Elephas maximus indicus: one gene and its partners. The protein of the gene in region 4 interacts with the protein of the main gene of each other region in a pairwise test. Links are inferred from orthologs where the notes say so. Each region holds a gene or a part of one and is shown on either strand. Other genes may lie near its edges. The genes, in order: ATXN1L, RNF8, HMGA1 and RBFOX2.

Region 1 (7,160 bases), on a different chromosome or scaffold from region 4:
TTTGCTACCAAAGACTAATGTGCCATCTTCTTTCCCTGAGCATATGACCTCATCCTTGTTTCCTCTCCCCAGCCTAATTTGGATTATGATCTCACCTAACTCTACCCCCACCCCCCAAAGCCTAAACTCTCTTCCTCCTTTGCCTCTTATCACTACTACCTCAAGGACTACCTTGAGTATCACTAAGTCCTGGGGTCTGCTTGTGTCTTTTTTAAAAAAAACCTTGCTCCCTAAAAATGTTATGAAATCTAGTATCCTCTTTGCTTCACAAAATACCACATTCAAACCTGGGCCCTTATGGGGAGAGTGCCTGTTACCAGCTTGCTGTAAAACTTATTTGTTTCTCCTCCTCCTCAAAGAACAGCAAAACTCTTCTGATTTCATATAGGCCTCTTATTCCCTAGGCTGGCAAGAACCTCTTTTCTTCTCACTAACCACTTTCAACGTGCCTTCTTTTTTCCTTTGTGTTTTCTTTTGCCAGTGGTTCCTTTTCCATTACAGATCTGCTCTACACATCACTTCCTAAAATTCTGGCTCCATTCCTCCAAACATGCCTGTTTATTCCTATCTTAGGTCTGTGTGATTCGTAAAAAAGTTCTTACTCCCCTCCCCCACCGTTATAGTCACCTTTCAAAAATGCTTCTGTCCACTGCCAGACAGCATCTTTTCTGTCTGAACAGTTCAATGCACATGAACTTAGTCACCTATTTCTTCCAATCAGACTTCAACTCTCTGGATCTGAAGAGAGATTTCTGTATTATACTCTGTTCTGTTTTCCTACTGTTGCATCCCAGATGTTTCTGTGTAACAAGGAATCCAAAGTACCTGCATTACCTGAGCTTCCAGTGGTGCTTCTGAGCAGCTGTAGTAAGAAGCAGTCTCCTCCCGGTTGGCTTGGGAGCCTAGAAGGCAGAAATATGGATGAAATAAGCAGGAGCCTGACCTCTGACCCTCCCCAGGGTCATGAAAGGTAATTTCAAAGCCACAAAGACATTGAAGTCCACAAGTCCTTGCCTCACCCTCTTCTCCAGAGGTAACTGCACATTTATCCAGAGTTCCCAGGCAGTTAAATAGAAAAGAAAAGAAAAAAAAAAAAGCCATGTCTGAAGCTGTAATTTGAAGGAAGATATTCCTGGAAAAAAAATTTCCATGTGTCAAATTTCATTGTTTTTCTTAACACCATTTTTTTCATTCTCTATCCATGCCAATTCCCCAAGGTTAAATTTACTTCCAATCCCAATTTCAGTTAAATCTACAAATAAATGGAAAAGACTCAACATTGTTCCCCTGTGAACAATGGAAAGCAGGAAAAAAAAAATCAACTTCATGGACTTTGCCCTTACTTAGCACCATGAAAACACAGATGTGGGGGGTTTTAAATGAGAAAAGCAGCACTACAAGGAAGAAGAACAATTATTTATGTTTCTGGGGCAGAAAAAGAGGTCAAGGGGGGAGTCACTCAAGGGGAGTCACTCAAGAGGAAGCCTTATTAACAGAATTTCAGGCCAAAAAAATTGGCTCCAGTATGTGTGTGTGTAAAATGTTCTGAGTGACAACTTTGTAGCAAGTGCTGAATCGAGTGTGACAGAAAACGAAAATGTCACCCTGGTCTTCAAGTAGCTAACAATGGGGAAACAGAAGAACCATTCAACTATCGACACCTCAATCTACACATGCCAGAGATGTCAAGCACAGAACAGGAGCCTTAACATCTGAAGACAGAGAAAGCAGTACGGATGTGTACTCTCGAGAAACTTTCGGCTGCCCCGTCCAAGTCCTACAGAATACTGCAAGTCTCAGTCCAAACTGAAGGCACGTTATATGGGCCTGGAATGTTCCGTACACATTTCTCTTAAGACAGGCAAGATGAGGAAGTACAGAAAAGGTGAAGAGATAGGAAAACAAGGTGTAAAGACAAATTCCTAGTTTCATAAACACAAATTACACAGCGGTAACAAGTCATGCATCCCTTTCTCTTCCAGCAGTTCCAGTAATTGAAAAGCAGCTTTCTCCTCCACTCCTAACAGAAGTTAGATTCACATCTTCAATCCCAGAATGATCCTTGTCTCTTGTAACCAAACCATTAAAGAAAACCTGTCTCTAGACCCTTGAGGGATTAGCAAACACGGGCTAATAAAATGACTGAAAGAGGCAAAAGGTCTGCGGGAATGACAACAAAGAGGCAAGCTTGTGCGCCGGGTTCCCACAACGCAAAGCACACTTCGGAAGCTGACCTTGGCCTCTGGAACAGCTCAATGAGAATTTCTTCTGGAGAAGACATATCTTGTGACCCCAACTGAGCTAACGGGTCAGGAGACCGTTCTGGGCAGCTGCCAAGAGAGCCCAGAACGAAGCTCCCCATCACGCTGGGGTTGAAATCAATAGGTAGAACCCAGCTCCAAATCCGAATTCACGGAGGGCAAGGGGTACACCCGAAAGACAGGGAGAAGCTTGGAAGAGACTAGGGTTATGGCTCCCTGAGAACCCGCCATCTCAATTCTAACAAGGGTAGGGCCTAAAATTAGGAATTCTGAGTTTAGAGAGTGGGAGTCGACCCTTCAAGCAGAGAGGGAGCAGGGGCGAGGCCCCGCAGGCGGCGCTTCCTTGTTTGGGGGCCCCTTCCCGCCCCGCGGACTCGGACACCGGCCCGCAGGGACTCAGCCGCGGCGGCGCCGGGGCCTGAGGCCCCCTTCCAGGCCAGGCTGGAGAAAAATGCGCGGGGGTCTTGGCGCGGCCTCTTTCGCTCCCTCTGTTCGCGGTTCTCGGGCCCCAACCCAGTGGGGCAACAGGCTCTGGGGGACCACTTCCTCCGGAGCTCCGAGCTCAGGCCTGAACTTAGCGAGGCCGGCCAGACTGCCCCAATGCCCGACGACACTCACCGGCCCATCTCACGGCGCTCCCCGGGCTCCTCCCTCGCGTCCCGGAGCCGCCGCAGCCGCGGCCGCCGCCATCCCCGGCCCGGGAGCCGCCCCACACCCAGCGCCTCCCCCCGCTCGCCGGGCGCCGGGAGATGGCGTCACGCGTCCCGCACCGGCGCGAAAAGATCCCGTCATGGTCCGGGCTAGGGAGCGACGCCCGGGACTCCCCTGAAGGTGGAGGTTGGCCACCTGCCCCTCGCCCACGGCGCCTCTTCTGGTGGGAAAGCGCACTCCCTCCGGAATCGACTCGATGGCACTGGGTTTTTTCTTTTTTTTTTTTTCTGGCTGGCACCGGGTCACATGAATAGGGTGCCTGGTCGCCTTACCGTACCCACCAATGACCTCGCAATCTCCCCTCCCTTAAATTCGGGAGATCCTCAAACAGAGGCCTGAGGCGTGGCCACCAGCGACCCCTGTTTCCTGGACTTCCCGGGCTTGACTCACGTAGCTTCCTCTTGGGAACTTTGGGCAACACCGAGGCGGCCCAGGCCCTGGAGAGTAGGGAGACCCCCTCACTGGAGACCCAGGGTGGAGATGGTAACTCTTAAAAGTTTAGAATTGGACATAAGTGGGGACAGAAGAGTGGACAGGTGGAGCTTGTAATAGGAGACCTGAAAATTAGCGGGGAGTGAGACGAAGGGGTTTAGTACAGAGGGAAGCAGCTTGATTTAGTGGGAAGAGGGTTGAACTACTCCATGAAATGTTAGGTCACTATTCATCACAGATTAGGTGGTGCGACTTCATAGTAACATGAAAATCCGGTTAATTTAAGTGGAAAAAAAAGAACGCCAATTTGTGCTTTGGTTTAACTTTGTAAAAAGGAAGTAGTTATGCATATGGACAAAAACTAAAATAAACCGAGAAAAAAATAAATTTGATTATTGACGAGATTGGATTTTGAGTGAAATTTTTCCTTTCAGTTTCTGCAGGTTATTTACTAAATACAGGCTCTACTTAGTAAATAATAATTAATTTTTGTTTGTTTAAAAAGTATTGACTGGGCTGGGATCCCTACTCTGTTGCTGCCTGATCTTGGAAAAGCCATTTCTACACTTTAGGCTGGTTTTCCACTTCTGCAAAATGCGGAGTTTGAACTGGATAAAGGGGTTGGTGTAAAATGTAGATAGAAGAGAACTCCAAACATTTGTTAAGTGAAAAAATAGGCAAATATGTGCAGTGTGGTATTTATTTAATGTTAAAAAACACATAACATTATATTTGCAGAAAAGGAGTAAAAGGATACATTGATTTCCTCTGGGTTGGAAGTGAGATTGGATGGTGGTCACAAGATCAGCATATGTTATCGCTGATTTTTTTTTTTTTTTTTACGAGGATATATTACCTCAGAAAAATAAAAAAGTTAAAATACCAAGAAAGTATATGATCCCTAAGATTCCTTCTATGGAATCCTTAGACCTCAATTTTGATATTTTCGTACCTAGAATGGGCACACAGGATCTTCAAAATTACTGAACACTACCCCCCACACACATTCACACATCCCACACAAGTGGGCAAAACAGTGATGTTACTGTTCTGTAGCCATCTAAATCAGCAGAGGGTTTTGTTTTGTGAATATTAATATTATCCTTCACTACAGTCTCCTCCTCTCTCAGTTTAGCCAAGGAGGAAATCCTGTGGTCACTCAGTGAATGCGTTTTAGCACTAACTGGCATTCTGGAAGCCCTGATGGAGTAGTGGTTAAGAGCTATGGCTGCTAACCCTGTAGCTTGGCAGTTTGAATGCACCCGGTGCTCTCTGGAAACCCTGTGGGGCGTTCCCACTCTGTGCTATAGGGCCACTATGAGTTGGAATTGATGGCAACGGGTTGGGTAATTTTTTTTTTGGTTTGGCATTCTGGTTTCTAGTTCTTTGCTAGCTCACTAAACTGGCATTAAAACCGCCAAGATACAGACTCTTGGACCAACCAGGTGCACTCAAGATAGCCAATTTCTCCCAGATTAAGATATGTACAAAATTGAAAAAGTAGACACAGGTAGATGACAGGAAAAAAAGTTTTTTAGCTACCAGTATTAGCATAATGATGTAGTGAAAAGGCGTGTCTGTTTAAAAACCAGGATGTTCTGATTGGTGAAACATAGGTAATTTTCTGGTTTGGTGCTGCAGTTCCAGAAGGGTGGGTCATAGTTTACTATCTTATTCTAGAATGTTTAACTCCTCCAAGCAGTCATCATTTCTTTGGTTCTACATCTTGACGTAGGAAGCTCTGTAGTTTGACAGGAACATTAGGGATAAGTTAACTAATACAGTTTTTTAGATTTATGAAACTAAAACAAGTTATTTCTTCAAAAATCTGGAATATTCTCTGAATATTTAAGTTACTTGTATTAAGTAAGCCCAGGGTCTTGTACACTGTAACAGGCTCAATAAATAATTATTGACTGAAACTTCACAAAGATATGCCAAGTTGGGAGACTTTCCTTCCTAATTCTCTTGCTCCCATTTCCTCATTTCAATCCTGTATTTTTCCCCATTTGTTAAGTATATATTTTCAATCTTATCTGAAAGCCTTTCATTTTCTTCGACTGAGTTTTTCTTCCACTGAGTTGTAAGAACTGATAAAGTGAAAAGAGATTTTTAAAGATAGTTGACGCTCAAAATTTAAGCTTTAATCTGTTGTCTCCACCCTTTTCCCTGGATTCCTATTGAAATCCTTCGTTTGGCACAGATTGAATTTTTTTCATGGGAGAGCTTGAGCTACTTCTTTGGAAGAAAGAAACAAAATACAAACCCTGCTGTGCTGGTTATTCTCCTTAAGCAGGCAGGAGCGTCAAACCAGCTCTCTGCATTGCCCAGTTCCTCCTTGGTCTAATTTGTAGACCTGTAATACAGACTGTGGAAGCTTAGACAACCATCTCAACTCTTTTTGAGGTTAAAAGGATAAAACCAGAGAGAAGTGCTGATAACTCAGAAACCTATGTGTGTCATAAGAGAGGTAAAAAAAAAAAAAAATTTTTTTTTTTAAGAGAGGTAGGTGGCTTTTTTTGTACTGTCACGTGTTCCTGCTTGTATGCTTCAGCGTATAAAGGTGACTTACCTTTAGATACCAATGACAGAAACAACTAATCCCAAACATACATTGAAATTATGGAAATACTTTTGTGAATTTAGCTTTGCCTGGAGAAGTGTTGGTGCCTGGTAATGGCTTATTTTTCAAAAGCATTTCTAAAATGTCCAATGCAAAAATATGCAATTTTCAACCTTCTATTTTATTTACTTCTCTGGATGATGCTGTGTCCTCATTCCCACCTTTGATGTTATGTGACCTGTCCATGTTCCAGCAGAGCTTTCCCTCTTAAACTCATTAGTATTTTATTTCAAAGGAGTCTTGTAATTCCCCCAAAAGTGGCTAATACTTCCTTCGGGGAAGGGGATGTCCCTCCCTTGTCTACTTCCTCAGACACTTGCCAAAGACTTTCATTTTTGTCCCAAACTTCCTGTAGAATTATCAAAAGTTGCAGTAAAAACACTGAGGATTGAAATTGCTGACTGAAATATAGCCCTTATTTGAATGGGAAGAGTCACACCTGGAGAACTGGTCCACAGAAAAACAGGTGCGTTCAAGCCATTGCTGAGTAGCCAGGAATTCCTTACCTGGGGTTTGTTGAATGAATAAAGTGGATGTGGAAAGATTGGAATGCCTCCTCCCCTGAGACACTGATAACTCTCTCTTTCTCTGGGAAACTTGCTTGGCAAGGTGATTTGTGAGTTGCTGTTTATCTACAGTAGTAATTCTCAGAGTTGTGGTGAAATCATGTTCAGCAGTGGCTTCAAAGCTGATTGTCTTCAGGTCCACTTGCAGCTGGTTGCCAGTCACCTAAAACTCCCTGAAAAAAAAAAAAAGTGAGTAAATACTGCAGGCAGCACAGCAAACTGCTTCTCAGATCATCTAGCGATGCAATCCCTGAGACCATGTATCTCCTAAGGCTTTACTTAGCAATTTGGGAATTTAAAGACCTATTTCAGACTCAGAGAAATGTGGCAATGATTATTATGGTAATCAAGTAATTTTTATTTCTGAAGTCTGTTCTGTATCTTGACTGTATCTGCATCAATATACTGGTTGTGATATTGTACGACAGTTTTGCAAAATGTTATCACTGGGGAAAACTGGGTAAAGGGTAAATAGGATCTCTGTATTCTTTTTACAACTGCACATAAATCGGCAGTTACCTCAAAATGAAAAGTTTATTTTAAAAAGTTTGAAAATGTTTAAAATGT
Region 2 (7,947 bases), on a different chromosome or scaffold from region 4:
AAAGTGGTACAGAAAAGGTAGAATAATGTAAAGAAACTCTACCTTGTTTTAAAATTGCTTCCTACAGGCTTTTTTCACAGAAAAAGAAGGAATCATCCTTTCTCATACTTGTCTGCACTATCTGGCCCTAGAAATTACCTTGGCAATATTGACTTTTTACCAACACCAAGGTTGAATTGTCTTCAGTGAGCTTATCTGAAAATTTCAGCACTGTTCATAACACAAAACTAAATTTCCCATGCAAACTGAGTGCCATCAAACGTTTCCGGGATCCATATGTTGGGGGTTGTCTCCATTTACAACAGCTTTGCAAGCCTTTGAGCTTACTGACATAATTGGTTTAGAAGATCATCTTGTCCTTGTCTACCCTCACCAATGTTATCCCTTTCCCTCCTGGGTATTATGATTCCTACTGTTTCCCAGATGACTAGCAAATACTCTAGAACCATCCTTGCCTTTTAGGAAGATACTATAGTTTTTTTATAGTTTTTCTTTAAGGTCTAGATACTCACAGAGCCCAGAAGCTAGCTAATTTGCAGTACATCTGTATTTTATTTGTTATCTGTGAAATCTGAGACCAAGGGAAACTGGAAAGGTAGGGAATGGACCTTACACTGCTATTATAGTTAAATGATGTCAGCATACCTCCTAAAACTTTGTGCATACCAGCCTATGCTATGATTTGGGGACCATTAAAATAAGACCTCATCTCTTGGCTTTGATTCAAGTCTTTCTTCATACACACTGCAGGCTATGCTCCAACTACTTCCTAAGACCCAGTCTTGCAGACAGCCAGGATAGGCCGGCCTCTGTTCTGCATAGGCCCCCTAGGCAAGCCACAGTCATTCCCACTAAGTCTTCAACATTCACTTAGATTTGCATAGGTCTCTCTCCAAAGAAGAGGCACCACACAAAACTAACCCATAGTTTAAAATATGTCTAGGAGAGTTTTAATAGTCCTCTCTCCCTTGGTTCAGGTGCTTTAATCTTTCTGCCCATGCCACTCCTAAGATACTCAGTGCTACCAAGGTATTCAGGAGAAGTAATAAATTAAACCATTGCAACTGAATCTGAAAAAATGAGTAAACACTTGACCACTACGCACCTCAAAGGGTTGTGTGTCAGAGTATAGTGCATAAGTAGTGATAAGATTAATTAATACATGTGAAAGCCCAAACCCTATACAAAATAATGTCAGTTATTATTAATTTATAATTATTAATTTGTTAAACTTCCCAAAGGTATATGGTTTGGAAAAAGCCATACAGGGAAGTGAATGAATGTCTAGTGTGGAATTCAAGGTACTGATACTTGGGTGGAAGGGATGTTTTGGGGCAGAAGCGTCTTTCTTCCTGGTGTTCCTGAAATAACCCTCTAATGTAGTCACTTTAAGACTGGACCTGAATCCCTCTTCTGACTTGAGGAGCCACTCCTCTAGAATAGTATTAAATAATCCATATATAAGCACTTGATCATACAGCCTGCATGGATGTTCTCAGACTACTTCACTGTATAAATCCTTCCCCACTCAAGCTACAAATACTTTGAGTACAGAGGTTGTTAAGATTTGTCCCTCTCATAGTACACCAAACAGCATAAAAATAAGTACTCAATAAATACGTGGGAGACTGAATTGAGACTATATGACTTATAGGGAAATCTAATCAAGCATACATAATAATCAAAAATCTTTAATTTAGAACATAATGATCAGCCACCTAGTTTTACTACAAAATGAACCTGTTTTACAAATTATTTCCCAAACCCAAACGGTTCCTGGTTACCACAAGCTGGTCCCTGACCCAGCTCTCCGTCCTAACCGGATTGCAATCTAATTCCTCCCTCCCCTCTCTTCCTTCACCTCCTCTCACCTTTTCTTTTTTGTTTTGTTTTGCTTTTATGACCGCATTAGCAAACATTATAAGCAAGCTCTGGAAAGGAGAATTCTTTAAAAATGTCTGAATTCCCACTCCCGGCCCATCTCAGGGTACCACTCGGTACGTGTCACGGCATAAAGGTGATCCATCCCAAAGCGCCAAGCTTTCTCCAAGAGTTAAAAAGGAGAAAAAGACCGTTACATTAAAGTTTGAGTATTTTGGAGGATATAACCCAAAACTCGCAATCGTTTTCAAAATAAAACTCGATAAAGTTCACGCTCGCGGTAGCCCTTCCTGGCCAGGCTCCGATCCTTGGCTGTTGGCGACTCGGGGTGGAAGTTGCGGCAGCTCCGCCCCACGGTTCCCCGGCCCCGGACTCGGTACTGCAGGGCTCCGAGTGACCCAAACAGGGGCTGTCTCAGTCCCTCCCTGCCCCTCACCCCAGCGTCTTCTCACCCTCTCTGCGTTCACTCTCACTATGCCCCCTCCACCTGGCTCTGTCCGCAACCACGACTCCCGCCCTAGCTCGCCCCCTGGGCCCAGGCCTCTGTCAACGGGGCCAGCTTCTCGTCCCAGTATCCTCGGACCAGGCCTCTGTCGCCACTCCGCTCCCTGTGGCCCTCCAGATTTCCCCCGAGCCCTCCTTTCTTCCTTTCTCCCACTTTGTCCCTGCTTCCTCCAATGCCCTGCCCCCTCAGATTCCCCCAACCGCTCGCACAAGAACCCCGGTGACCCAGCCTCACGCCTCTCTCCTCCTCCCCCTTCCCGGCCCGCCCGGACGCCTCCCCTCCGCTCTCCCCCTGCTTGCCCCAAACCCCTTCCCTCGCCCTCACCTCGCTCCCATCCTCCAGCAGCAGCCACTCGGCGGTCATCCCAACCCGCCGCAAGCACCAGCTCCGGCCACCGGCGCGGTCTCCCGTGACCAAAGAGTCGGGCTCCCCCATAGCCCACTCGGCCCAGGGCAGGCCCGGGTCGCGGTCAGCACACAGCGAGGCCCGGACCCCGGCTCCGGCGGCTTCTCCGCTTCCTCGCGGCCGCCATACCTAAACACCAGACAGAAGCAATCGCCAAGCGCTCGCGCTCAGTGCGAACCCACACTCGGGCTGCAAGCCCAGCCCAGACCCGGCCAGCGAGCGGAGTCACTGCGCCTGCGCGAGAGGGCGGGGCGGCCCGCGGGGTGGCTGTGTGGGGCGTTTACCCCCCGGTACGGCAGGTGTCGCCTGAGGCACGCTAATTCTCCCCCAGTCCCCTTCCTCGCTAGAACCGCTACCCCAGCCTGACTGCCCCAAATAGGAAGCTCTTCTCACCGTTCCTTTTTTTTTTTTTTTTAATTATTTATAACCGCATTGTTATGATAGGACACCTGGTGGTGCAGTGGTTAAGCGCTTGGCTACTAACTAATAGGTGGGCAATTCGAACCCACCTCCGCGGGAGGAAGATGTGGCAGTCTACTTTCACAAAGATTCACAGCCTTGGAAACCCTACAGGCAGTTGTATTCTGTCCTATAGGGTCGCTGTGAGTCGGAATCGCCTTGGTGGCAATGGGTTTGGTTTTAATTATGATGATGATATCCATATTATTTAAAACGATAACCCACTTTTAAACAACCTTTAAACTTGTGATAATGTTAAAATATGTTGTCTATTCTTAAATAGCATCTGTTTTGCAAGATGTCCTTTTATTCCCGGTTTAAAAAATTATACTGGGCAAATCTCTCGAGGCAGAAAGCAGATCAGTCGTTGCCTGGCGCGCTAGGTGTGGGAGCTGGGGATTGAATGCAAACCCGCTGGGCTTAGAGGGAATTTGGGGAGGGTAACAGAAATGTTCTAAAACTGGGTTGTGGTGACTGCACAACTGCATACATTTACTAAAAAATCGTTGAACTGCACACTTACAATGGGTGAATTTATGGAAAGTAAATTACTCTCAATAAAGTTAATTCTTCCCTTTGATTTTCCAGTATTGTGTGGTACCTGCTCCCTGTAGTGACTACCTCTGTGATAAATTCAATGCCCCATTTTGTCTTTTCAGTTTTCTGATACCTGGTTGACAATTTTCCTATATTAAATTCTGTCAGGAAAAAAATACATGTACACTAAATGAATTATACAGAGCACAATAGTAAATGACTAGTGTTTATTGAGAGCTAAGTGCCAGGTACAAGGTCAAGCATGCTACATACTTTATCTTATTTGTTGTTCACAAGTAATATGATGATGATGGCTTCCATTATAATTCTCACTTTAGGGATGATGAGAAAAGAGCTACAGAGAGATTAAATAATCTTCCCAAAGTAACGAACTAAGTGGTGGGGCAGGATGCTAACTTAGGTTTGTTGTTGTTGTTGTTAGCAAGTAACAACATAGCTTCCATCAAATGGAGACCACATACACAATGGAACTAAATGCTGCCTGGTCCTATATCATGTTGTTCTTGTTGTTAGGTGTGATTGAGTCAATTCCAACTCACTGCGACCTTATGTATAGCAGAACTAAACGTTGCCCACTCCTGTGCCATCCTCACAATCATTGCTGTGTTTGAGCCCATTGTTGCAGCCATTGTGTCAGTCCATCTCATCGAGAGTCTTTCTTTTTTTCACTGACCCTCTACTTCACCAAGTATGATGTCTTTCTCCAGGACCTGGTCCCTCCTGATAACATGCCCAAAGTGAGTGAGATGAAGTCTTTTGCCATCCTCACTCCCAAGGGGCATCGTGGCTGTACTTCTTCCAAATCAGATTTGTTCGTCCTTCTGGCAGTCCGTGGTATATTCAGTATTCTTCACCAACATCATAATTCAAATGCATCAGTTCTTCTTCATCTTCCTTCATATGGGCCAATTGGAAATACCATGGCTTGAGTCAGGTGCACCTTAGTCCTCAAAGTGACATCTTTGCTTTTCAACGCTTTAAAGAAGTCTTTTGCAGCAGATTTGCCCAATGCAATACATCATATGATTTCTTGACTGCTGTTTCCGTGAGCATTAATTGTGGATCCAAATAAAATGAAATCCTTGACAACTTCAATATTTTCTTCATTTATCATGATGTTGCTTACTGGTCCAGTCCTACATCATAGCAACACACAGTTCACCAGTGACAGACAAGTGGTGAGCTGTGCATGCGGTGCTTTGGCAGGGAATCAAACCTGGATCTCCCACATTTAAAGCAAGAACTCTACCACTGGACCACCAATGCCTCATAACTCAGGTCTGTTTAATTTCCCAACCATGGTTGCAATCCCAGCCTGGAGCATTTTACCTGTGTGGCACTGTCAGATCAAGAATTGTGGTCTGTGGTGGCACAGGGGACAAGAAAATTAGAGAGAGCCCATAGCTGCACTCATAAAGATGCTTCCTCAAACTAGGAATCAGCCCTCACTTCACCTAGTATTCTGTCCCAGGAACAGCAAGTGTACCTCGAGGCCGTTCTGACTCTGTTGGTGTAGTGGTTAAGAGCTCGTTTGCTAACCCAAAGGTCAGCAGTTCAAATCTACCAGCTGCTCCTTGGAAACCCTATGGGGCAGTTCTACTGTGTCCTAGATGGTCACTATTGGAATCAACTTGAGGGCTATGGGTTTGGTTTGGGGTTTTATCTCCTTAGGTTTCTTATGGCTGTGACAGTTTCTCAGACTTTTTCAATAACCTTGACAGTTTTGAAGTGTACTGGCCTGGTATTTTATAGCATGTCCCTAACTGGGATTTGTCTGATGTTTTTCTATTATTAGACTGGGGTTACGGGTTTGGGGGAGGAAGACCACAGAGGTAAAGTGCCATTCTCATCACATCATATCAAAGGAGCGTACTATCAACATGGTATCACTTTTCATGTTAAGCTTTATTACCTGGTTGAAGTAGTGTTTGCCAGTTTTCTCCACTGTTAACCTATTCTTTTTCCCCCTTTCCATAATGTATTGTTTGGAAGGAAGTTGTTATGTGCAGCCCACACTTAAGGAGTGGGGTATTAGGCTCCCCCTCCTGGAGGGCAGAGTATCTACCTTATTTAGAAGTCTACATGGGACATTTGCCTTTTCTCCTACATTTAGTTCTTTATTTAGTCATTTATTTATATCAGTGTGGATTCATGGATATTTATTTTAAACTTTAGGTTATAACCCCATACCACTTTATTTTGTTACTCAGATTGTTCCATCTGTAACCACTAATAGCTCGTTCAGTTGGTTACTAAATCCCTTTGACATAATCCCAAAATTGTGTTTTTTTTTTTAGCACTTCCTTAATTTCTGGCAAAAGATGGCCCAGTCCTAAAATCAGCCATTTCTCCAAGGAGTCCTGGTTCCTTTCATTAGAAAATAGTATTAGAAACCAAGATCTGGGTGCTAGGTATGCTCCTTGCTACTGAGATGTCATTGGTTCTAGGCCCTCTCAGTTGACAGAACAAGGAAATATATGTGTATACTGACCCATGTGTATACTCATATCTATATATATCCATCTGTAAGCTAAACATGAGTTTATGCTGATGTCTTCAACTCGAATCCATTACCATGTGGATCATTCTAGTCATCCCCCATTACTTATCTGTAACCTCCAACTCCAAAAGTGAGAAATTTGGCTCCCGCCATCCGTTTACCTAATTGTTCATTTCCAGTATACATGTATAATGGTTTCAGAATTGTTAATCCATACCCCTATGGGAAACAACTTTATAGACTAGAATACAGTGCTTATGTGCAGTTCCTTTTGTCTTTAGTTTTACAGACTCTACTCATTTCGAAATGCACATTTTCTCCCCCATCCCTTTCAGTGAGATTGTTTCATACGTTTGTAATACAGATATATTCTTTTGTCACAGTTTGGATTCCATCCTCAAATTCCCTCGATCTCCTAAACGATTTTTTTGAATTTGTAAATATTGTTTCACTCTTTCTGCTATAAAGTTCAATGGGTTTCGATGAGTGCATAGCATCATGTAGCCACCATTATAGTATCATACAGAATAATTTCATTACCCTGAAATATCCCCTGTGTTTTGCCTATTCAATCCTCTCCCTTGCATCTTTAATTTAACAATATATCCTGGAAATCACTCCATAGCAGTATATACATATATTCCTTCTTCCTCTTTATAGCTGTATATACTGCTCCATTGTGTGGATTACCATTTTTAATTCGACCAGTCCCTTATTGATACACAGATTCTTTCTAGTCTTTTGCTATTACAAATAGCCCTGCAATGAATTAGTAGTTGCCACTTTTTTTAATTATACACTTTGCGTATATTGTCTTACTTAATCCTCACTACCATCCTGCAAGATATCATTATCCCCATTTTATCCATGAGGAACATAAGACTGCTGGGTTTTCCAAGATCTTGTTGACATAAGCTCCTTGGGGGTTATGTTTTATTTTTCATTGTACTCCTGGCATTTTATTGAATGAATGAACGTGACTCAACTAGTAAGTGGCAGTGCAATGACCTGAAGCCAGGGCCATGAGCCTGGGTCTATCTAGCCCAAAAGGTTGCATCCATTGTAACCTAGCAATAGTCTCTAAGGTGGGATGGCCATACTCTAGAAACTGCACAAAATGACCCATTTGCTAATGGAAAGAAAATATCAGGATGCCTAATTATATTTTTATCCTGTCCTAAAAATATTCACTTTTGTTAATATTTTATAATTACATGAAATAACATCATAGGGGATATATATAGGTTTTGTAAGGGAATACAGAAATATGCATACATATATATATAAATATGCATACATACATTGTGGCTGTGTTCTCATTGTTTGGCTGCTAAGCATGCGTGATCAAAACAGTTTGAAAATCACTGCCTTCTAAGATTTGGGGATTTTATTAACTCTATTCCTTTATACCAGTGGTTTTCAACCAGGGGTGTTATTGCCCCCCCACCCCACCCTGAGGACATTTGTCAACATCTGGAGACATTTTTTAATTGTCATGACTGGGCTGGGGGTGCTACTGACATTTAGTGACTCAGAGGCTGTTACACTCCCTACAAATCACAAGACAGCCGCATAACATGAATTATCCAATCTAAAATGTCAGTGCCAAGATTGAGAATGCCCATTCCAAGAGTGAGAA
Region 3 (7,715 bases), on a different chromosome or scaffold from region 4:
GCATTTTTCTCTTTGACCCTTACTTACTAGAAGCACGGGTTTCTACCTCTGACCTTTCTGACAGACCCTAACCCCAAGAGTCCTAGCAGGGCTGATTCCCAAACCTTCTTGGTCCTTTCCTGGCACTTTCAGTCTTCTCAGAGGCCTGTTTGAGTTTAAGCCGCCCCACTAAGTCTGAGTTTGCCTAAAATCACCCACTGCCAGTTGAGTCTGCATCCTGTATTTGAGACCCTCTTCCAGAGGCTTAAAGAGGACTGTGAGGGTTCCCCACATCTCCACCCCTGTCCTCCCAGTTACCGATAGGAAACAGAGATGATCTAGGAGGCCTATGGCTCTACACTTCTCCCCCAGTAACCAACCAGTCCCTATCTGCCTTGGGCAAAGGGTGGCCCCAAGTGCCTCTGCTTCTGAAATCTCTCCATCTGTAAAATGGATGTAATAATAAGTGACCTGAGCCAACTAACTCTGCGTATTGCTATGAAGATCAAATTAAATAAGTTAAAAAAAGATACTTTAAATTGCGCTACATACATGTAAGATGTGCTCAACCTTCATTTTCTAAGAAATAGCAGGGGGAATCTTGGCTCCAGTCAAAATGAGAACTAGAACATTTGAAAACAACTTTTCTTCCCCCTTTTCAGATCTTTAAGCATTTTCCAATTTTAACCCAATGGAAAAAAAAAGACATTCCGGTAAACTTGTGATTTTTGGAGGGCCGAGGCCCCCATCCTCAAGCATAAAGAGGCCCTCCAGACAGCGGGACTTTGTCTGATAATTATTCTATTTTACAATATTTCAGACTTGGAGACCCTTTTAAACAAGGTGGTTGGTGATTTATCCTGCTCCATCATTAGCGGCTTGGCCTGCTCTGTAATTACAGGCAGTGATTAGAATCTTATATTACACCACAGGTCTCCCTTAAAAACTAAACATCAAAATTAATCAGCTAAATGAGGGCTGACCTCACATGAGGTTTGCCAGGTCCCCCTAACAGAGGGGGTTCCAGTTGAGCGAAGTCAGCCCTGAATCCCAGAGAGCCTGAAGATCCTGGCCGGTCTCCTTGGAAGCTCTTATACCATGCGGCCCCCAACCTCTTGCTACTAGGACCCTTTAATCCACCCGTCCTTCCTCCCCACGCCCAACCAGGCCCCCAGAACCTGAATGAAAGCCTGAGGCCTTCTCTAGAGAAGCCAAGAAATGCCTGTCTCTTCCACCTGTTTCTAAACATCAGGAAGGCCTGGCTTGGAGAAGCCACATTTAGGGCCCAACCTCAATCCCTCCATTAGTAATAAGCCTGCTTGGGCCTCAAGCATGTCCCCTACCTACACTGTGTATGCAACGTGTGCTCCACAAACGCTTAGGGAGCCTGCAAAAATGGCCCTAGGAATCATCTTGGGAGCCCCCTTTCCTTGTTTTCCAAAGAAGAAGTAGCCCAGAGAGGCTTGATGAGTTGCCCAAGGTCACACAGCAAGTTGTCGAGCATAGGTTGGAGTAGGTACCTGGCGATCCCTCCAGCCCGCCACACTTTTCTTCCCCACCTGGAGGCTGGTTATGTCCCTGTAGCCCCCTGCTCCAGACTACTACCCCGAGTGACTCTGCAAGTGTTTGTACCCGACCGTTGCAGGCCAGACGGCGGGACTAGGGGCCGGGGCGAGCGGGGGGAGGGGCGCAAGCCGTTCCTGCAGGCGCGGGAAACCGGCGCACCCTGACCGCATGCACCGCCACGCGGGTGCACCCGGCCCCACTTCCTGCCAGAGGGGGCACCCAAGCCCGCCTTGGGGCAGGAAACCTGGCGCGCGCGGGCGCAGGAGAGAGGAAGAAAGCCACCTCCCTCCGTGCCCTCCCCGCAAAATAAAACCCCCCCAAAAAATAGAAACGGGGAATCATAGGGACTAGTTCCAACAGAGCCCAGCAAAGCAGAGAAACCAGTTTGTGGGGGCGGAGGGCAGGCCCGGCCCTGGGGGCTGAAGAGGAGCGGGCCAGGCCAGAGGTGGGGTCAGGGTGAAGCCCCAAACCCAGGCCCACGATCCGGCCTCATCAGCGGAGGAGGGACCAGGAAAAAGGCCGAGGACAGTTAAGGGCGAATTGCGGGGTGCTTGCCCATCCCCCTCACTTCTAGAACTTCCCCAGGCTGCGGGGGGCGCCCGACCCACCCCCCACTCTCCCGCGGCGCCGCAGCCTGCTACTCTCTCCACCTTCTCGCCCAGGCTCTGGCGAGAGCGGCCGCCGCGCGAGGTGCACCCGGCTCTGCCGGGTGCACAACTCGCGCTCGCTGCAGCCGCGCGCCCCCTCCCCCACCGCGCGCTTTTCCCGGGTCCCCACCCCCCGCGGTGCGCCCGCGGTACGGGGGAAGGGGTGCGGGCGCCCACCCCGCGCCGCCAGGCCCTGCCGCCCGCCCCCGCGCCGCGCGGCCCTCCCCCGCCGGCGACTCGCGCTGCCCCGGCCTGGGAATAAAGCCGGCGGCGCGCGCTGCAGCCCCGGGCGGCTGGCAGAAGGGGCGGCGAGCAGGCGGGGGCGCGGGCGCCCCCAGCCGCCGCCGCCGCCGCCGCGGCCCCCGGGGACGACTCACCGCGAGCTCGGCCGCCGGCCTGCGGTGCGCGCTCGGGGCTGCCGGGAGCGGCGGTGCTGGGCGCTGAGGACCGGCCTGGCTCCGCCGCCGCTGGTAGCGAATGCGGATCTGAAACCAGGAGAGAGCAGAGGTGCTCAGAGCCTGCCGCCGCCGCGTGCCCGCCGCCCAGGCCCCCGCGGGGTATTTATATGCCACATCCAGAGGGGGGCTATTCCCCCTCCCCGAAGGATGGCGAGGGGCAGGAAGCTGGGCACGGCCCGTGCGCGGCCTCAATAAATAAATAATTTAATTAAATTATAGATATAAAAAAAAGGAAGCCACCGGAGCGGCCGCGAACTCACGCCTTCTTGGAGCCGCGCCAGCGCCAGAAATAGCCCGGGCTAGGAGTCCCAATTAGAGGAGCGCAGCCCCGGCTCAGGGGAGCTTAAAAAGAGCGACCCAGGGGCAGGGGGGACGGGCCCGCCCGCGCCAGCCGTGTCACTAAGGGGGCGGGGCCATGCAAATGAGCCCGGGGATTTAAAAGGGCGGCCGCCCGCCAGCCGCCACCGCTCGGGTGGGTGCTGACGGCGGGGAGGGGCCCGCGGTTCCTGACGTCGGGGTGGGGGGGAGCGAGTGCGCGGGAGGCGAGTGCGCGGGAGGCCTGGGCTGGGAACCCGAGGCTATGGCCCACTCGTCACACTCTCGGCCTGAGAGAACTGGCAAGGAGCGCAGAGAAATCAGGAAGCAGCTTTATGCGAGGGGGAGGGCGGCCTTTCTGCCCAAAGTGGGGTCCCCAGGCTAGTCACCTCTTGGGACCTTCTGGGCATGTGGGTCTTCCCTCTCCACGCACCGGTGGGCGTTCGTGCCTGCGGGGTCCACGCGGCGTGAGAGTGGAGAGACGCGAACCTGTTCAGAGAATTCCGCGGCCTATCCTCCGCCCCCTTCGCCCAGATACGCTGCTCATAGATCTCCCCTGGGCGGACAGGTGTCGGCATGTGCATTTCAGTGTCAACCCGCGTGTGGCTGGCTGGTGAAATACAAGTCTTGTGAAACTTGTGAAATTCAAAGAGTTTTAATTAATGGCCACGGGTGAGCCATAATCAAGGTGCAGCCTTCAAGCGAAAGAAACGATTGACTCGTTCGCAAGTCAATCCGAGGAGTCCTTCTTTTAGGTGACGTGGGTGGTGTTTTGGGACATGCGGTCCCAGTTTGTGACCTGGCCCTCTGCTGTGATTTTTTTTCTAAATAAGAAAGCGTGGGCAAGGGATCCCCTGGAAGCTCTTTGAGGGCAGGGGCTGAGTTTTACGCACGCCACACCCGCCACGCCTGGGCCGCCCGGCGCCTGACTCAACAAAAACTTGTTGCACAAACGAGAAGGAAGCCAAAGTGGAAAGATGGCGGGGAAGGCGGTGGGGGAAGAAAAGGCGCAGTCGGAGCGGCGCGCCCTGCAGGCCGGGGCCCGGGGCCTTCTTGGGCGCACCTCCCCGCCCTTGGGCCCTGAGGCGGCCTTCCACACCTCCCGTGATGCAGGGAATTGCAATGTGGTCCAGTGACACACGGCGGCTGTGACTCATGTTTTTCTTTGCTCCCCTTCTCCTCCCCGGTCAGCCGAGGCCCCGGCCCAGCCCCCTCCTCAGGAGGCGATCGGGCGGTGGAGGGGGACGCTAGGAAAACCCTGAACCCGGAGTGGAGGCGGGGTGGGGAGCTGGAGGGGCCGGGCCTCCTAGTTTCAGGAATGTTTCAGGAATGTTTCCGGTGGGGGTGGGGAACAGAGCCGGGAGTGGGCCCAGCCCCCACCCCAGGGCAGCGGGATGGCGCTCTGGGCCCGGGGCAGCACGTGCTCGGCCGGGTGGGGGTGGGGGCGCCTAGGCGGGAAGGCGCCGGGGGCTGAGAGAGCGGGTTCAAAGGGGAGGGCGCGGGCCTGGGGCCTGCCCAGGCCGGGGGTGGGCCCGAAGGCCGCGCTCCGCGCGCTGGTTCCCCGCCCTGCGCCCAGGTGAAAGGCAGTTCCTGAGAAGTCCTGAGGCCGCCCCAGAAGGGGAGAGGAAGTCACCGAAGGGCGCCCGAGGGGAGGGGAGAGAAGGGAGGAGGGGGAAGAGAGGGAGAGGCTGGGGGAGGGGCGGCCTGCCCCTTTGTCTGGAGCCGGTTGGTGGGGGTGGGGCGGGGTGAAGCGCGCGGCTCCCTCCATCTTTGTGTCCTGAGCATGGCGCGCGCGCTTAGTAGGCCGCGAGAAGAGTTGGTTGGAGGGCACTGAGTGGCGCGCTCTGGAGCCTTTGCAGCATTGAGTGGAGGGACGCGTCTTCAGCGCCTACTCGTCCACCCCCAGATCACAGGCCCCTGCTAGCAACCCGGTCCCCCACGTCTGGGCCATCCCCCCCAGAGCCCCACGCCCCTATATGCAACCCTGCCCAAGGCCAGCCCTCCCCACGGCTGTCTGGGCTTCTTGTACGAGGTTCTGGGGCTGGCCGTCAGGAAGGCACGGGGATGGTCTTGTTAGCCCCCTCGCCTGGACGCACCTAACCTCAGGGGTGCCTTCCCAGAGAGGGCGATAAAGGCGGGAGAGGGACTTCCCAAGTGGGCTGTGGGAAAACTCGGCCAACTATTTGGCCCACTTCTAGCAAGCCAATTTGATGTTTTTCCTACTCTTATTTTCCCCCTCGTCCTGATTTCCTCATTTACTTTTTTTTTTTTAACCTTGCATTGTGTGTATTTTTGTAATTCACCTCAAACCCTCTCTGGAAGGAGGCAGGTATAAATAAAGATGTAGGCAAATACAGTAAGCTGGTCCCCTCCAGGATTACCCACACCTTGAAATCCAAATAATTCTCTACCCACTGACCCGCACCTAAATGCTTTCTAGATTACAAATGTTCCGAATTCACACTCTGTACTTTTCCTCTTTCAATAGGTATCTCAAAGAGGGATGAGTAGTGGGGGTAAAAAGATGAAGAAGACAATCCCTGTCCCAGCAAATTTCCTGTCTAGGGGAATCTTGACCAGGAATGTCCAAGAGAAAGCTGAATCATAATCCAGGAGATGCCATGAGGCAAAAAGCATTCATTCAGTATTCACTGAGGGCCTACTCCATGCCAGGAACTGGCCCAAACTCTTGGGGTACAATTAGTAAATAAAGCAAAGTTCCCTGCATTCTTGAAACTTAGATTGAGGGGTGGAATGCTTAAGGAGAGCCTTGGTCGATGCTAAAGGAGGTCAGAGGTAAGAGATTGAGAACCTGAGGTGGTTGGTCAAGGAAGTCTCCTGGAGGAGATGGGCTTGAGCAGCCCGTGATGGGATTTGGATAGGTGGGAAACAGTGGGGACCAGGGAGAAGAAGCTATTCTAGGCCTGAGTCTAACCATAACGTCAACCAGGTTGGCCAAGATCTGAGGGAACCTGGAGGAGTTGGTTGGTATTAGACCCAGTCTTTGCCACAAGACGAATTTCCCAATGATCAGATTCAGGTAATAACAGTTTCCGCAAGTATAGCTCAATGAACATCAATGAACCCAAAAGGAGTATCCAGGTAATGGGGTGTTGGGTAACCTTAACTTTTCAGGACAGCTAAAAGTTAAGGTCATTTCCCCCTGAGCTATTGAAATTCTTCCTGAAGTGTGTTAGTTCTTTCCCTGACAATCTCTCAGTCCTGGTTTGGAAATGCAAATGTGGTAGTTTGGGTGTTCTTAGCATTCCCTGGGGATTCAAGTTTTCTTTCCTCCCATCTCTCTAGTCAGCATGTTTGCTTATCATTTTACCTCTTGCTTATCATTTTACCTCTTGCTTCTCAGTCAACTGCTGTTTTTAGAAGAGTAGGAGGAAAGACCCGTGTGGATGGTTAGTGATTGGGTTATTTAAGGTTTTCCAAATGGAGGGGGTGGGGGTGTGACTATGTATGGCATGGGGTATCCAGCCCAGCATGGAAGGTGGATGGGAAGGGGGAGAGAATCAGGAATTGCTGAGTATCATTGGGTGACTACAAACTCTATAAATTGTCCAAACCAGGGCAGTTTTAAAAGTAAACTTATTACTGACAAATAACATACGTACAGAAAATGCATAAATCCTAAGTGTTCAGCTCAAATTTTCACTGGGTGAACATTGTGTGACCAGCACCCAGATCAAGAAGCAGTTGCCGGCTGCCTTGTGTAACCACTATCCCAACTTCTAACAGCATTGTTTAGTTTTGTCTATGTACATTATATGAATGGAATCATACAGTATGTATTCTCCCAGGTTGGTTTCTTTCGCTCAGCCTAATGTCTGTGAGATTCATCCATGTTATTGTGTGGCTGTAGACTGTTCATTCTCGTTGCTGTGTAGTTAATATGGTATGAATGAACAACAATTTATTTATCCATCCTCTTGAAGGATATTTGGGTTTTTCCCTGTTTGGAGCTAATACAGTTACTGCTGCTGTGAACATCCTGAAAACCCTGGTGGCTGTAGTGGTTCAGAGTTCGGTTGCTAACCCAAAGGTTGGCAGTTTGAATTCACCAGGCACTCCTTGGAAACCCTATGGGACAGTTCTATTCTGTCCTCTAGGGTCACTGTGTGTCAGAATGGACTCAATGACAACAGGCTTGGTTTTGGTTTTAGGAACATTCTAGAATATGTCTTGATAAGCAAAGGCGTCCATTTCTGTTGTGTACGTACCTAGAAGAATTCCTGGATCATAGTATAGGTATGTTTAGCTTTAGTGGGCAAACAGGACACCTGAGAGTAAGAGGGAACACTATTAATAATTATGACCAGAGAACAGCATAAACCTGACCGGCCCATGTCAACCTGGGCGGACTCAGGATATAGGATCCAGCTTGGTCAAAGGTCCCTGCTACACAGTCTCTGACCACTATCCTCAAGAGTCATCTAGCTACTAGTGCATCTGGTCATCTGGCAGGATCAGGCCTCCAGACCCTGCTGACCACAAGCTCTTCTGCCAGCAAGCCTGGCAGGCCTAGAGTGGAAGGAGGGCCTCTTCTGGTTCCAACTTTCGAGGGAAAAACTCCCAAGTGAAAAGGAGGGCCTGGGAGGCAGCACCTCTCTGCCCCCTTCCTGTGAGCCAGTGGCTGGCCCACCCATGGCCTCGGGACACCATGGACTTTATGGCATTATTGAGGACTGGGTTACCAGGAAAGCCCAGCTCCTTTATAACCTGAAATAAAACCTGGGGGGAA
Region 4 (8,000 bases):
ATCTTCTTCATCACTGGTAATAGTCCATTTCTTTATTGCCTGTCTCTTCCCATTAGAATATCAGTTTCTTGAGAATAGGGTCTTTATTTTGTTCACCGCTATATCCCCTAGGGCTAAAACCTTGCCTGGCACAGGGCAGCTGCTCAGTAAACATTAGCTGGACGAATCTTAATTATTCCATCATTATTGTCAGCACGATACCAGAAAGTCCTAGAGCTATAGGTCCTCTAAGCAAAGTATCATCTTTTCACGAACACAATTTCTCCTTTACTCCCAATTACACCTTAAATTTCAACCTTCCCATAAAGCCTTCCTTGACCAATTCGGTAAGAATGACCATCTCCTTCTTCTGGACCCAGGGGCACAAGTCCTCTGTACACTGTGGCTCTAAATTATGCAATGCCTTGTGACATATACCTACTTTGTGGTATTTCTACTCCTGTTCCTCCGGAACTTAAATAAAAAAATCATACACACACAAAAAACACATTTTTTAAAAAAAAAAACTTTTCACCCATTGTGTCTCCCCATCTAGACTGAATTATGATAAGGACATGAAACTAAACTTGTGTGTTTTTAGTAGGTAACTCAGAAATCATACTATACAAACACTTTATTTTACAACTAAGGAAACTGAGGTCCAAAAAGAAGGGATTTTTCAAAAACCATACGGCAAGGTGCTCTACCGATGATGATGTGAACACCTGTGTGACATGGTACAATGGGAGCACAACAGTGAGAATGGACACAGTGAAAAACTAAACAAAGAATATCCATAAACACACAACAACAACAAAAAAAAGGGATTCTCTGTGGGACAGTTCTAAGTCACCCATTTATACCCAAAGGACCTAACCCACTCCTTCCTCTGCATGTCCCCTAATCCCAAAACCCTGTTCCATTTCCAAACACTCCTGTCCTTAGTCAATTTGAAGGCAGTCAGCAAATAATAGGCCCCAGGAGGGAAGGAGGGAAAGGGGAATCTGACTATTAACTGGTAGAAACAATAAATGAATACACACACACAGGCACACATTAGGTAGAACACGCTCACTAGCACCCACAACCCGTCTCCCCTCCTTACCATCCAATGCTAACCCACTTCACCTGAAGTCTCTCCATATTCCTCTAAATTTTCTCCATGGCCCTGAGCTTCTACTTCTCATAATCCCTCTGCCTGACAAACTTCGAATGGAGAGTAAGAGCAGGCAAACACAAAAGAATTCCAAAACAAACAAGAGGGTCACTTTACCCAAACCAACAGAAGTAACAGAGTGGCCTCTGCAAAGGAGACCGAGAAGCATACAGCAAACATGCCAGGCTGAAGTACAGCTCCTCCGTCTCCCACACAGGAAGTCATGCAGGGCCTTGAAAAGCAGGGAGCACGGCACAGGAAGTCTTTTAGCTTTGCACAGATTTCCAAGGGTAGTGTAATGGACAGACCACAGGAATAGGAATTACAAGACCAGGCTTCTAGTTCTAGTTTTACTACCAGCTACCTGGTCGGTCTTAGGAAAGTCAGTAGTCATCTCTGGACTTCTGATTTGCCATCTGTAAGATGAGATGGTTAAAACATCTTGGCAACTGCATCTCCTCAAAAAAAAAAAAGATGAAAGCTACTGACTCTCCCTCAAAAATAGTGCACATACACTATTTTGCGTAAGAAGCCTCTAAACCGATCCAAGTGCAAAAGCCCCGGAAAAAATGTCTCTGGTCCTTTCTATCTTTTAACATTCTATGATTTTCAGAGGATTAGGCAGATGTCTGAACAACTGCTGGTAAGTGAGCCCCACCATTTCATTGCAAGTATTTTCTGAACAGAGACGAAATCCTAAAGCCTACCAAGATTTCAAGCTCTTCGTCTAACTACAAAGACATTGACGGCATCCCTACATTTCCCATTCCCCATCCAAATCAACCAGCTTCTCCTGAAGTCCACAACCCACAATCCAGTCTCCTAATAGTCCTATAAATTTTCTTATGCCCCAGGACATTAAAAAGGTATTCGGTGTCCTGGCTATGTAGGATGCAATCGGCAAAGTACAGGAGGGACAGTTCTCGTATCTCTTCAGACTCATTAGCATGCTTCACAAAGTTAATGAGACTGAGCGCCACGGTGTCCCTACAACACTACCAAACTCCCTAGACTTCTCACCCTCCTGGGTAACTGATTTAACCCACAATCTAAGCCACATCCCCTTTCGGCTCTCTCTAGGAGTTCGCTGGCTTTTCCTCCTCTCCTTCCTTTGCCCATCCCAGCGTGTGTCGAGGGCTGCTGAAAAGGCACTGCTCCTTCCTCTTGGGAGCTTTCCCACCACCGCCGCCCCTCATCCTCGACCCAGCCCAGCGGCTCGCCTCTAGGCAATACACCCAGAAATTCCCGGCTTCCACTCCACCCCTAGGAACTAAGAACGGGTTAGAGGGAATGGAATCCATCTCAACCGTGTACAATTTCCCCCCATAAACCTACTCACGTGCGTCCTGGTCCCCTCAGGCGTCAGGACCCTCTTGGCGCCCCAGATCCTCCTGCACCCTTCGCCGCCCAGCCAGAGCCCGCCCCACCTTCCAACCAGGCCCCGACCGGCCCCCTCCCACCTCCGATCCAGGACCCCCGCCCGCCCTCCTCCTCTCCAAGCCGGGAAGCCCGGGGCCGACCCTCCCGGCCCCCGCGAAAACGGGGCGCCCCTGCCGCGCGGTCACCTGCATCCCGCCGCCGTCGGCCGTCGCCTCCTCGGTGCGCGGCCGCTTGCTCAGGCCGGGCTCGGCTCCGTCTCCTCCCCCTCCGGGCACCGGCAGCTCCAGCTCCGACTCCCGCTTCATCCCCCGGGCAGCGGCGCCGGGCCCGAGCTGAGGTGGCTGCTGCGGCTGGGCGCCTTCCGCCATCCGCCCGCGCCCGCCTCGCCTCCGGGAGCCGGGCGACCCGCGACAGGCCACCTCGCCCTGGGCCTCGGCCCCGACTGTCGCGACAGGCGGGCGCGCGCCTGCCCCCGCCCCCCCGCGTGCGTGCGTGCGTGCGCGCGCGCGCGGGCTCGGCGCCCCTCGGCGGCCGGCGGTCGCCGCTCCTGGCTGGCGGGCGCCTCGGCTCGCTCCCCGCGCCCCGTCCGGGGCCGCCGCCGGGTCGCCACAGGCGCTCGCTCGCTCGCTCGCACCCCCCGCTCGCACACACACCCCAGCGCCGGCCTGCGCGCCGCCCCGCCTCTCACGCTCCCGGAGCTCGCCTGCCGGCCGCGCTCGCCCTCTCCCACTCTCCCTCACACGCCGCGCGGAGGGAGGAAGGGGGCGGTCCGGCTCCCGAGCTCTGGGGAGGGGGGCTTATTAGGGGGGAGGAGGGGCTCGTGGCTGGGACGAGCTGACTGGCCGGGATCCTCCGACCCGCCACTGTGGCAGCACCGGGAAGGCGGGGAGAGAGAAAGGAGGAGGGAGGGACCGGGATCTGGAACTCCAGCCCGCGCGGGAGGCTGTGGCGAGGGGGCGGTGGCGGCGGCGGCCCGGCCCGTCGAGGGGCGGGGCCGAGCCCCTCGGCAATCTCCGCCGCCTGGGCTCGGGGCGCCCGAGGGAAGCCGGGAAGAGATCGGGGAAGTTCGGGAATCTCCGATCCGAACGAGGAATTGTCCTGGAGGTAGAGCCGGGCTGGAGTTCCAGGAGGCGCGGAGGGGGCGGAGTCTGGTTTTCCTTAGGGGTGGGGCCAAAGCCTAAGGCAGGCAGGGCTTGGGACGCCCGAGAGCAGGGTAGCAGCCCCCGCTTGGAAGGCTTATACACCCATCTGGCAGCGTTGGTTCCCAGGGCGTGAAGAGGCACAGTGGGAGGGGCTCGTTGCCTGCTTCCTCTCTAGCCGAGGAATAGGGAATCTCAAGTTGGAAGGTCCAGGAATAAGGCCAATCCTACATGGGTTCTGAGAGCTTTTATTCTAATAGTGATTATTATCACATATGAGTCGGAATCAACTCGACAGCAACGGGTTTGGGTTTTCTTTTTTTTAATCATCATAATAATACCTGGTGCTTTTAAGAGATTTATAGTGTCCACAAGGCATTCACAGACCCGTTTTGAGGCAGGTAACACAGGCAGAGTAGATGCCATGATCTCCGTTTCACTGATAATGAACCTGAAGCTTGGTTAAGTCCGACAGCTAAAAAGTGATAAATTCAGATCTCAGGATACAAATCACATTGTCTTTCTCTACACCTTGCTGCCTGAGTAAAACTTTATTGCGTATCGACTTTGTGCCATTAGAGATAGTTGCAATAGCTTTTCTCTCCCACCGAATAGCTGATGGGCACGTGCTTACTCAGGGTTCCATAATGTGCCTCATACATTGCAGGGATACAGTGATGTTGCATAAACAGCATGGCTTTTAGTCTTTGCCCTGCTAACTAGCTTAGACAGTCTATTTCATCTCTTGGGACAGCAGCTCCATCATTTGTAAAATGAGGAAATGATTTAGATCAGTGGTGCTCAAACCAAGTAAGGGGAAAGGAAGGATTTTCCCCACACCCCAACATTTGTTAATATCTGGAGACATTTTTGATGGTTACAACTGGAAGGTGCCACTGGCATCTAGTGGATAGAGGTCAGGAATGTTGCCCAGCATCCTACAATGCACAGGACAGTCCCCACAACAAAGCATTAACCAACCCAGAATGTCAGTAGTGATGAGGTTGAGAAACCCTGGGTTAGATGATTTCTAAGGTAATTTCCAAATGTGTCCATGATTTGGCCTTTGAACTTGGGTTTAACCTAGGCGGCGTTAAACAGTACAGTGGTAAAGACTCCTGCTTTGGAGTCAGACCAACTCAGGTTTGAACCCAGGCTTTATCACACCATGTGGTGTTGGACCAGTGGTAACAAGAATTTCTGTATAGAAGGGTGTTAGGGGTCCTTGTTAGGGAGAAATGGAAGACTTGTTTTGAAGTTGAATTTTCACAGTGAGCATATTGTTTTTACTTAGGCTGTGTCATAGATCAATAAAAATAGCCACGTTTTAGTTCTGGCATTTATAAGCCATGAAGCCTTATGAAGGTTACTTAACCTCTCTATGCCTCAATTTCTTCATCTGAAAATTAGGATAATAATAGAACTTCTGGAAAGGATTATCATAGAATTAAGTGAGGATTAAGAACTTCAAAAAGCCTGTGGCCAATGGTAAGCACTCAAAACATGTTTTTAAAAAAAAAAAAAAACTCATTGCCATTAAGCCAATTCCAACTCATAGTGACCCTATAGGACAGAGTAGAACTGCTCCATAGGGTTTCCAAGGCTGTAAATCTTTACAGAAGCAGACTGCCACATTTTTCTCCTGTGGAGCAGCTGGTGGGTTTGAACCACCAACCTTTCACATAGCAGCTAGCACTTAACCACTGAGCCATGTTAGCTGTTATTATTACTGTTATGATTTTATTTGTGCTTTATATAAGAGTGGAAAAAAGCCCACTGTCAAGATCAAAGAATATCATTATCATTATTACTTTTATCATTATTATTATATACGGTGGCTTGGGTTGGGCCTCTGGAAATTAGAGTGGAGGCTCTGCAACTCACACCTTGATGCAACACTGTTGGGCAAATTATTTATTTTCAATAAGCCTTACATTCCTTGTCTGTAAGATAACAATAGTAACAGTCACAGTGTTGTTCTAAGGATTAAATGAGACAAAATAAGTAAAGTGTTCACCACAGTCCCTAACATATAGTGACTACCTAATAAGTGGTAATTGTTTATTATTTTATTTAGTGATAGTAAGCTGCTCGCCAGATGCTTATAAGGCTGGAAAAAGAAGCCTCAGCGTCTCTTAATACAGCCATTTAGATCATCAAGTTGGAAGTCCAATTGCCTGCAAGCTTATTCTTGAGCTGAATTAGACAGCCCCAACCTAATAGGGGGCTCTAGTTAGCAGTACCCCACAGCATATGGGGCTTGATCCCATCCAACCAAGCAGTTCAGCTTTGAAGAAACATCAAAATGTTTCCTGGTGGCCTGTGGAACAAAGATGGCTTAAAAAAAAAAAAAAAAAAAAAAACCTAAGGACATCAGTGATTGGTTTTATGAAACATTTACTTATTGAACTGGTGTCTTAAGAATTCTTCCTCCCTCACCACCTTCCTTGCCAATATACTGAAATCTAAATGACACTAGGTCCTTTTGGGGCTGCCCCATGACCCAGCAAGAAATGAGATTTGGTATCAGGGCTGCCTGTGACTCAGATTATTATATTATTCATGTAACTCTCAAATCCCTGAGAAATAGAGCAATGCAGTATAGGAATGTTTGATTTACCAGGCAGAACAAAGAGAAATTGGACCCTGCCCTGTAAACAAGCATTAAGCAATTAGGGAGAGAGAAGAGAATCCAAAAACCAAACCCACTGCTTTCGAGTCAATTCAGACTTATAGCAACCCTATAGGACAGAGTAGAACTGCCCAGTAGAGTTTTCAAGGCTGTAAATCTTTATGGAAGCAGACTACCATATCTTTCTCCTAGGGAGCAGCTAGTGGGTTCAAAATGCTGACCTTTGGGTTAGCAGGTGAGCATTTTAGCCACTGTACTACCAGGGCTCCTCGAGAGGAGAATAGAAGCCTACAAATATTAGAATAGGCCGAATGTACCCGTGGCAGCACAACAACTAATATAATTTCTTTTATTTAAATCTGCAGCTATCTGTTTGAAGACAGGTGGTTACAAAACACATCGAAGAGGACAATTAAAGACTATTTTCCTAGAAAGAATTTTTAGCTGCCAAAACTACTGCAGCCCTAACATTTATTCATTTTTCTATTCAAAAAACTGTGGACAAGTGCCTGGGATACCAAGATGAATAAAATTTATTCCTGGTACCAAGGAAGTCACAGTCTGGAGGGGAGAAGGGATGAGCAAATAAAAAGACAATTGCAATGAATCATCATAAGGTCATCTCTAGTGGTCAGGAACATGGACTCGGGTGCCAAGTAGATACGGATTTGAGTCTGACTATGCCATATACGTGACCTAGACTCATTAAAAACCCAGTGCCGTCGAGTCGATTCCAACTTGTAGCAACCCTATAGGACAGAGTAGAACTGCCCCATAGAGTTTCCAAGGAGCACCTGGCGGATTTGAACTGCCAACCCTTTGGTTAGCAGCCATAGCACTTAACCACTATGCTGCCAGGGTTTCCCTAGACTCATTAACAACCTGCAATATGCCGATGACACAACCTTGCTTGCTGAAAGCAGAGAGGACTTGAGGCACTTACTGATGAAGATCAAAGGCTAAGGTGTCCAGCATGGATTACACCTCGACATAAAGAAAACAAAAATCCTCACATCTTGGCCAATAAGCAACATCATGATAAACGGAGAAAAGGTTAAAGTTGCAAAGGTCAAAGTTTCATTTTACTTGGATCCACAATCAACACCCATGGAAGCAGCAGTCAAGAAATCGATGCATTGTGCTGGGCAGATCTGCTGCAAAGGAGCTCTTTTGAAGTGTTAAAAAGTAAAGATGTCACTTTAAGGACTAAGGTGTACATGACACAAGCCATGGTGTTTTCAGTTGCCTCCTATGCACGTGAAAGCTGGACACTGAATAAGGAAGACTGAAGAAGAATTGACACCTTCAAATTATGGTATTGGTAAATAATATTGAATATACCCTGGACTGCCAAAAGAATGAACAAATCTGTCTTGGAGGAAGTACAGCCAGAATGCTCCTTAGAATTGAGGGTGGCAAGACTTCTTCCCAAGTACTTTGGACATATTATCCGGAAGGATCAGTCCCTGGAGGAGGACATCATACTTGGTAAAGTGGAGGGTCACTGAAAAAGAAGAAGACCGTTAACGAAATGGATCGACACTGCAGGTACAACAATGGGCTCAAGCATAGCAACCATCATGAGGATGGCGCAGGACCAAGCAGCATTTCATTCTGTTTACACGGGGTCACTATGAGTCAGAACTGTCTTGACGGCACCTAACAACAACAACATGCCATATACCTGACCTTGGACAAGATCCTTAGCACCTTG

The links.
Region 1: the proteins of RBFOX2 (region 4) and ATXN1L interact in binary tests that used the Homo sapiens proteins (3 or more experiments, as listed by UniProt). The link is inferred for Elephas maximus indicus from reciprocal best matches to the Homo sapiens genes RBFOX2 and ATXN1L.
Region 2: the proteins of RBFOX2 (region 4) and RNF8 interact in binary tests that used the Homo sapiens proteins (3 or more experiments, as listed by UniProt). The two-hybrid records come from large-scale screens. The link is inferred for Elephas maximus indicus from reciprocal best matches to the Homo sapiens genes RBFOX2 and RNF8.
Region 3: the proteins of RBFOX2 (region 4) and HMGA1 interact in a two-hybrid assay, tested with the Homo sapiens proteins (2 studies listed by BioGRID and IntAct, with this or other methods). The link is inferred for Elephas maximus indicus from reciprocal best matches to the Homo sapiens genes RBFOX2 and HMGA1.

The regions. Positions count from the first base shown.
Region 1 is NC_064839.1:38,614,987-38,622,146, forward strand, and holds the start of ATXN1L (ataxin-1-like), read right to left. Parts: upstream 3,001-7,160; 5' UTR 2,880-3,000; intron 903-2,879; 5' UTR 826-902; intron 818-825; exon of another isoform or gene 628-817; intron 1-627. UniProt on the Homo sapiens protein: Chromatin-binding factor that repress Notch signaling in the absence of Notch intracellular domain by acting as a CBF1 corepressor. Binds to the HEY promoter and might assist, along with NCOR2, RBPJ-mediated repression.
Region 2 is NC_064819.1:101,041,962-101,049,908, reverse strand, and holds the start of RNF8 (E3 ubiquitin-protein ligase RNF8), read right to left. Parts: upstream 3,004-7,947; 5' UTR 2,822-3,003; coding exon 2,711-2,821; intron 1-2,710. UniProt on the Homo sapiens protein: E3 ubiquitin-protein ligase that plays a key role in DNA damage signaling via 2 distinct roles: by mediating the 'Lys-63'-linked ubiquitination of histones H2A and H2AX and promoting the recruitment of DNA repair proteins at double-strand breaks (DSBs) sites, and by catalyzing 'Lys-48'-linked ubiquitination to remove target proteins from DNA damage sites.
Region 3 is NC_064819.1:97,114,594-97,122,308, reverse strand, and holds the start of HMGA1 (high mobility group protein HMG-I/HMG-Y), read right to left. Parts: upstream 3,005-7,715; 5' UTR 2,911-3,004; intron 2,678-2,910; 5' UTR 2,570-2,677; intron 1-2,569. UniProt on the Homo sapiens protein: HMG-I/Y bind preferentially to the minor groove of A+T rich regions in double-stranded DNA. It is suggested that these proteins could function in nucleosome phasing and in the 3'-end processing of mRNA transcripts.
Region 4 is NC_064822.1:179,541,664-179,549,663, forward strand, and holds the start of RBFOX2 (RNA binding protein fox-1 homolog 2), read right to left. Parts: upstream 3,006-8,000; 5' UTR 2,884-3,005; coding exon 2,701-2,883; intron 1-2,700. UniProt on the Homo sapiens protein: RNA-binding protein that regulates alternative splicing events by binding to 5'-UGCAUGU-3' elements. Prevents binding of U2AF2 to the 3'-splice site.